2 linked regions of the Callithrix jacchus genome follow. The protein of the gene in region 1 interacts with the protein of each later gene in a biochemical or structural test. Links are inferred from orthologs where the notes say so. Each region holds a gene or a part of one and is shown on either strand. Other genes may lie near its edges.

Evidence for each region.
Region 2: the proteins of SNAP23 (region 1) and STX2 form a complex in vitro, tested with the Homo sapiens proteins (2 studies listed by BioGRID). The link is inferred for Callithrix jacchus from reciprocal best matches to the Homo sapiens genes SNAP23 and STX2.

What each region holds. Positions count from the first base shown.
Region 1 is NC_133509.1:30,176,018-30,179,924, reverse strand, and holds the start of SNAP23 (synaptosomal-associated protein 23), read right to left. Parts: upstream 2,341-3,907; 5' UTR 2,257-2,340; intron 829-2,256; exon of another isoform or gene 721-828; 5' UTR 624-720; intron 102-623; exon of another isoform or gene 1-101. UniProt on the Homo sapiens protein: Essential component of the high affinity receptor for the general membrane fusion machinery and an important regulator of transport vesicle docking and fusion.
Region 2 is NC_133510.1:134,052,279-134,056,185, forward strand, and holds the start of STX2 (syntaxin-2), read right to left. Parts: upstream 2,240-3,907; 5' UTR 2,069-2,239; coding exon 2,039-2,068; intron 1-2,038.

The sequences.
Region 1 (3,907 bases):
ATGCACAGTTGAGTTCATTTAGGGTTGGGATGGTCATTGATAATAATTCCATGGTTCTCAACCAGGGACACTTTTGTCCTCCAGAGGATATTTAGCAATGTCTGTGATAACAGGGAAATGGGGGGTGGATACTACTGGCATCTTGTCCAGTGATGCTGCTAAACATACACACACACACACACATACACACACACACACACAGAGAGAGAGAGAGAGAGAGAGAGAGAGACAGACAGAGAGAGAAAGAGAGACAGGGTCTTGCTCAGACTGGAGGGCAGTGGTGTGATGTTGGCTCACTGCAACCTCTACCTCTGCAGCTCAGATCCTCCCACCTCAGCCTCCCAAGTAGCTGGGAGTACAGGTGTGTACTACCACACCCGGCTAACTTTCATATTTTTTGTAGAGATGAGGTTTCACCATGTCACTTATGCTGGTCTCAAACTCCTGGACTCAAGCGATCTGTCTGCCTTGACCTCCCAAAGTTCTAGGATTACATATGTGAGCTAGTGCTCCCGATCTGCTGCTAAACATCTTATAATGCACATAATACCCTTGACAACAAAAAAGTATATGTTCCAAAAATGTCAGTAATCCCAAAGTTGACAAACACTAAAGTAGCTTACCTTAATAATCACCAATATCTGACTGTGGTCTTCTAAAGGCTTTTCCTTGAACGATGGGCCAGAGTTTACAGGGCAAAATAGTTCTTCCATTGCATGCCTTTGAAGGAGAGTAAAATGAGCAGCATACCATAGCCCTTGAGTGTTTCAAGGACTTGTGATGTCACAAACACAGAACTGGAAGTTTCCTGAACCTCTAGAAGCAAATCTGGATATACATAGAGATGAATGTAACTGCTCACTTTTATTTGAGGCATTGACGGTCTGGTTAAACAGAGATGTTATAATCTCAATAATATAAGAGGAACACTTCACATAATGATCAACCTTAATGTCATTTCCTTTATCTGATTAGTCTCAGTCACTAAAATTACGGCTCTGAGGGAATGGGTATGAGCTAAGTTTAATAATAAATATAGGCGGCTGGGCACAGTGGCTCACATCTGTAATCCCAGGACTTTGGGAGGCCGGGGCGGGCAGATCACTTGAGGTCAGGAATTTGAGACCAGCCTGGCCAACATGGCGAAACCCCATCTCTACTAAAAATACAAAAATTATCTGGACATGGTGGTGTATGTCTGTAATTCCAGCTACTTGAGAGGCTGAGGCAGGAGAACTGCTTGAACCCGGAAGGCAGAGGTTGCAGAGAACCAAGATAGTGCCACTGCACTCCAGCCTGGATGACAGAGTGAGACTTCGTCTCAGTAATAATAATAAATGTAGGCTGGGCGCAGTGGGTGACACCTGTAATCCAGCACTTTGGAAGGCTGTTCACTTGAGCCCAGGAGTTTGAGACTAGCCTGGGCAAGATGGTGAAACCCGTTTCTACCTAAAAAAAAAAAAATTATAAATACCTTAGGCATGAGTAAGAATAAAACCAGTTATAATGGAATGTCTGCTCTGTGATAGGCAGCATTCATGGATAAAACACTTGACCTATGTTATTTAATTTTAGCAACACCCTGTGAGATAACATTGTCTTAATTTTAGGGTTTTTTGTTTGTTTTTTTTTTTTTGAGACCGAGTCATGATCTGTTGCCAGGCTAGAGTGCAGTGACGTCATTTCGGCTCACTGCAACCTCTGCCTCCCGGGTTCAAGCGATTCTTCTGCCTCAGCCTCCTGAGTAGCTGGGACTACAGGCGCCCGCTACCATACCAGGCTATTTTTTTTTTTTTTTTTTTAAGTAGAGAAGGGGTTTCACCATGTTGGCCAAGATGGTCTCCATCTCCTGACCCACCCACCTCGGCCTCCCAAAGTGTTGAGATTACAGGCATGAGCCACCGTGACTGGCCCAACATTATCCTAATTTTAACTCAAGATCTTGAGGTTCCAAGAAAAATTTTAATTTACCCAAAGTCGTAAATTATTAGTAGCTAGTCCGAGATCTGAAACTCGGGCAGGTCTGTCCTAAAAGCTCTTGCACCTCCCATTAAATTTTAGTAAATTTTACAAGGAAGGAGTTATTTCAAATTTTAGCCTGAACAGTTGCCACTGACTAAAGGAAATGGCGGGACACCAAGGAAGGAGCTAGAGGGAGGCCGGGAAAGAACAAGGAGAAATAAAGAAAATGAAAAAGGGACCAGGGAGACTGTTCATAGCGTCCAATGCTGCGGACCGACTCTCCCGCAAGCTGACCTGCCTTTGTTCTTCCTCCATTCTTTTTGAGAAAAACCTCTTCCTGTGTGTCCGTTGTTCACTCTCTTGTGTTCAAATAAAGCTAGATTATTGAGAACGGCTGCAGGCAAAGGAAAAAAAAGAGCGTGACGGCCTCGCTGTGCGCCTGCGCGCTGGCGGCGGCTGTGGCAGGGCCCGGCGGGGAGCGGGTCCGGAGCAGGCTCCCGGACCCAAAACTGAAGGGGGGAGTCTGGGGCGTCAGGGAGCTCCCTCGCCTGTCTCTCGGCGGCCTGATGGAGTAAGAGGGGTTGGCTGTGAATGTGAGTATCGATGGGCCGGCCTGCGTTGAGCGTATTGGAGCCCAAGGGTCCTGGTGGTCTGTCCCTTAGGGAGATTGTGTGGCTGCAAGACGCGGCCCGCTTTCTGCTCCGGCAGGCTGCGGCGCAGGGGTAACCCAGCGGTCCACTCTCCCAGAGCCGGCGCGGGATTACAGGCAGGCGGTGCTGCTGGCTTCGGGGTACGGATTTTCGTGGGGGCGTTCCAGCTCTGCTCCCAGCCCCAGAAGGAAATGTGGCTCCAAAGCCTTGACCTTTAGGGGAAGCCGCTGACCTTCGGTCCTCAGTTGGGCAGGGAGTCCAAAAGACCCTGGTGCTTAAAGCCGGTAGTCTCAGGTCCCGCGACACATTTCAACCTCTCGCGACTGACAACCTTCGTTCCTTTTTCTCCTTTCCTTTCTCTCCGTGTGTGATGTATCTTAATAATGGCAACTAATTATGGAGCGGTTACTGTGTTCATTTAATATTTAGTCAGAATCTCGGTTTATAGTTATGGAGAGGAAACGCTTTACACCCTCCTCCCATTTCAGTTTGTTGTTTAATCATCTTTGAGAGTAAGATTTGTTGAGAAGTTCGAGATTCGCTTTTAGCAACTTGAGACTGCCATTCTAGGTCAGGGAAGTTCTCTTGCTTAGCAAACAAGTGCTGTATCCACCGTAATGGTTTATATCCAGCCTATTCAAACCACAAATAACTTTTGAGTACTTACTAAGAGTTTAGTACTGTTGTAAATCCCATGGGAAACCTTAAAATTTGCTTTAAGGGCCGGGCGCGGTGACTCATGCCTGCGATCTTTGGGAGGCCTAGGCGGGTGGATCACGAGGTCAAGGAGTTCAAGACCAGCCTGACCAAGACGGTGAAACCCCGTCTGTACTAAAAATACAAAAAATTAGCCGGGCTTGGTGGTGGGCGCCTGTAATCCCAGGACTCTGGAGGCTGAGGCAGAGAATCGGTTGAGCCCCAGGAAGCGGAGGTTGCAGTGAGCCGAGACCGCGCCACTGTACTCCCTCCTGGGCGAGAGAGAGGCTCAATCTCAAAAAAAAATTTTTTTTTTTTTTGCTTTAAGGCCCGTTCTCAAGTTTGGTCGTGAATGAAATAAGGGACGACAGTATTCAGATGCAACTAGAATTTATTTAGTATCTACTACACAGTTGCCAATTACATTTACGTGTGTCATAAAAATATTAATGAGATATTGTAATGGAAAGTAGGTTTCTGCAGCATTTCAAATGAGATCGCTGGGATTTTGCTAGTAATTTGCTCAAGCTAAACTAGCTAGAGTAGGTGGTGAAATTCACTTAATACGATTCCAAAAGCACGTCTTTTCCCAAGCAAAC
Region 2 (3,907 bases), on another chromosome or scaffold:
CGTGAACCGGCGGCGGCACCTGTGTACGCACGCAGCGTGAACCGGCGACTGCACCTGTGTACGCACGCAGCGTGAACCGGCGACTGCACCTGTGTACGCACGCAGCGTGAACCGGCGACTGCACCTGTGTACGCACGCAGCGTGAACCGGCGGCGGCACCTGTGTACGCACGCAGCGTGAACCGGCGGCGGCACCTGTGTACGCACGCAGCGTGAACCGGCAACTGCACCTGTGTACGCACGCAGCGTGAACCGGCGACTGCACCTGTGTACGCACGCAGCGTGAACCGGCGACTGCACCTGTGTACGCACGCAGCGTGAACCGGCGACTGCACCTGTGTACGCACGCAGCGTGAACCGGCGGCGGCACCTGTGTACGCACGCAGCGTGAACCGGCGGCGGCACCTGTGTACGCACGCAGCGTGAACCGGCGGCGGCACCTGTGTACGCACGCAGCGTGAACCGGCACCTGCATTGTAAAGGGAAAGTCGTTATTACTCCCGTTGCCCTAAGCCATCCTGGACAAGACAAGCCTGGAAAGTACACGGCCACCGCTACAGTTTCACTGTCACATGCACAGTCCTGTCACCTTTACACGCGAGAATGCATCAAAATCCTTCCAAATTCTTCAGCGACCTGCTTTTCCCTTGCTAAAGTAAACAGTAATTTGCTGTGCCATCCGCCAAGTCCCCTGTGTGCTCGGCTGGCTGGAAGCGCGAGGTGTGTTCAGAGTCAACATACCCAAGTCCAGGTCCCAAAGCAAACTACTGGGGAGACCAGACACCGGCTGCTGTTGGCACTCGCCCCACCCAAGCACCTAGCACTCTTAAGGCGCTCACATTTAACACCCATCTGTTGCCTCCCGCTGGGTGCAGGATCCTGCGTGAAGCCCAAGGGATAAACAGCGAGCAAGAGGACCCGGCCTGCCCCGGGGACTGACAGCCGCTGCGGGGACCCCGAGGGGCGGACGACAGTTAGGCCGGTGGGATCCGGCTGCATAAGCGCCGGATAGAATCCGCCAGGTGGAGTGACGGACAGGGAACCCTCTTGGAGACGGGGTCAAGGCCGGGACCCTCCCTTCCCCTCCCCTCCTCTGGTCCCAACCGGCCCGGAGGACCCCGCCAGGAAGCTCCAAGACCCCGTCCGGGGAACCCCGCCCGGAGCCCCCTCAGGACTCCCCGAGACCCCCACCCTGGGAACCCCGCCCGGAGCCCCCTCTCAGGACTCCCCGAGACTCCGTCCTGGGGACCCCGCCCGAGCCCCCTCTCAGGACTCCCCGAGACCCCGTCCTGGGGACCCCGCCCGGAGCCCCCTCTCAGGACTCCCCGAGACCCCGTCCTGGGGACCCCGCCCGAGCCCCCTCTCAGGACTCCCCGAGACCCCCACCCTGGGGACCCCGCCCGGAGCCCCCTCTCAGGACTCCCGAGACCCCCACCCTGGGGACCCCGCCCGGAGCCCCCTCTCAGGACTCCCCAAGACCCCGTCCTGGGGACCCCGCCCGGAGCCCCCTCTCAGGACTCCCCGAGACCCCCACCCTGGGGACCCCGCCCGAGCCCCCTCTCAGGACTCCCCGAGACCCCGTCCTGGGGACCCCGCCCGGAGCCCCCTCTCAGGACTCCCGAGACCCCCACCCTGGGGACCCCGCCCGGAGCCCCCTCTCAGGACTCCCGAGACCCCCACCCTGGGGACCCCGCCCGGAGCCCCCTCTCAGGACACCCGAGACCCCGTCCTGGGGACCTCGCCCGGAGCCCCCTCTCAGGACTCCCCGAGACCCCGTCCTGGGGACCCCGCCCGGAGCCCCCTCTCAGGACTCCCGAGACCCCCACCCTGGGGACCTCGCCCGGAGCCCCCTCTCAGGACTCCCCGAGACCCCGTCCTGGGGACCCCGCCCGGAGCCCCCTCTCAGGACTCCCCGAGACCCCAGCCCGCAGCCCCCGCCCCAGAACGCTCGAGCCCCGCCCAGGATGCCCCGAGCCCCCGCCCGCCCTGCAGAGCCCGCCCCGGCCGGGCCTGAACCGCTACCCGCGGCCGCGGCTCACCGCCGTCAGGTCTGGAAGCCGGTCCCTCATCCCCGCCGGCCGGGCCGCCCGCCCCGCCGCTCAAGCCTGTTCCGAGCCGCCTCCGGCCGGGCCGCGGGCTCTCGGGTCGCCGCCTCAGGCCCCGCTGTCCCGGCCCCTCGCCCGCCGCCCTCCCAGGAGCCGGCGCTGCCACGGCAACCTCGCCCCGCGCGCTCTGCGCATGCCCGGCCTGCGCCGCGCCCCGCACGGACCCACAAGGCGGCGGCGCTTTCCAGCGGGAGCACCCCCCCGAGGGGCGGGGCCTGGCAGAGAGGCGGGGCTCCGAGGGCGGGGCCTGGCAGAGAGGCGGGGCGCCGAGGGCGGGGCCTGGGCGGGGAGGGGCGGGGCCCGGCTGAGCCCCAGGCTGGCAGGAGAGCTACGGGTGCTGTTTGTCCCTTCTTGATCTGCTCTTATGCTTTCACACCCATTATTTCACTTATTAAAATATAGATCATTCAACGAATAGTGACAAAGAGCAAAGCTCCCGGAATGAGCTGGGTGCAGCTTTGGTTAACACACATGCCGAACTTTCTCTTAGGGTCCACGTCCAGCCTGGGGTGTGAATGAAGGAGAAGGGATCATGTAACACACATGATGCTTAAGGAGCATAACATTAGGGGGAGGTAACGTGAAGAGCACCCGCAGGCCCTGCCCTGGGATGCAGTTCTGGGCGGGAGACACAGGCAATACAGACACAGACAAATAAATAATAGAGAAAAGAAAATGGGGGCATGGGCACAGAGAAGAACTGGCAGAGAGGTCGTCATGAAGGTGCAGGAGCTTAGGTGAGCTACACAGGTTGGAGGAACAGTCCCTGAGGCCACCGTCACCTCCGACACCAACTGCAAGTTCTGGGGATTTCCAAAACCACCTTCGAGTTCCATAATTTGCTGGAAGGGATCACAGAATTCACTAAAAATTACTGTACTCACAGCTATGGTTTCTTACAGGGAAATGATACAGATTAACATCAGCCCAGGAAGAAGAGCAGTGGGGGAGCCTGGGGATTAGAGTGTGGAGCTTCAAGGTCCTCCCGTGATCCTCTCCCTGTGGAGTCAGGCCTCATTACTTGCCCTGCACTGAAGTGTGGCCACACACAAAGCACTGCCAGCCGGGGAAGCTCACTTAGCTGCAGCTCGCAGAACTTTGACTGGGCTCCATTGCATGTGTGTGATTGACTGATTGCTTTCCTAGTTGATATCAGCCTCTTGGTTAAGTGATATCCATGTAATCCCAAGCCTGGGGTTAAAAAGCCTAGCGTTAAGCCCCAAATCACACTGTTACTCTCTGGCTAGCTGAAGATTCCCAGGCAAACAGATTGCCTTCCAGGAGGAGAAAGCCAGGCCAAACTTCTTCTTAAACAAGGTTAAAGTCTTTACTACCTCCAGGAGGAGGTGGTTTTGATCTCATGAGAAGGCAGCCCTGGCTGGGCGTAGTGGCTCACGCCTGTAATCCTAGCATTTTGGGAGGCCAAGGTGGGTGGATCACCTGAGGTCAGGAGTTCAAAACCAGCCTGGCCGTCATGGTAAAACCCCATCTTTAAAAAAAAAAAAGAGAGAGAGAGAGAGAGAGAGAGAAGGCAGCCCTAAGAAATCTACCTGAGAACAGGCTACACAGAAAAAGAGGACGTTTTGGACATGGTTCTAGGTGTGCTGTGGTTCTGTTACCTGATGGAAACTCTTGACGGAGAGTTGCTCAGGTTCTTGGCATGTCACACACGAAGAATTGAGCAAAACACACAAACAAAGCAACAAAAACATAATGAAAGAAGCAATGAAAGCACAGATTTATTGAAGTGAAAGTACACTCCGCAGAGGGGAGCGAGCTGGAACAAGTGGCTCGAGAGCCCCC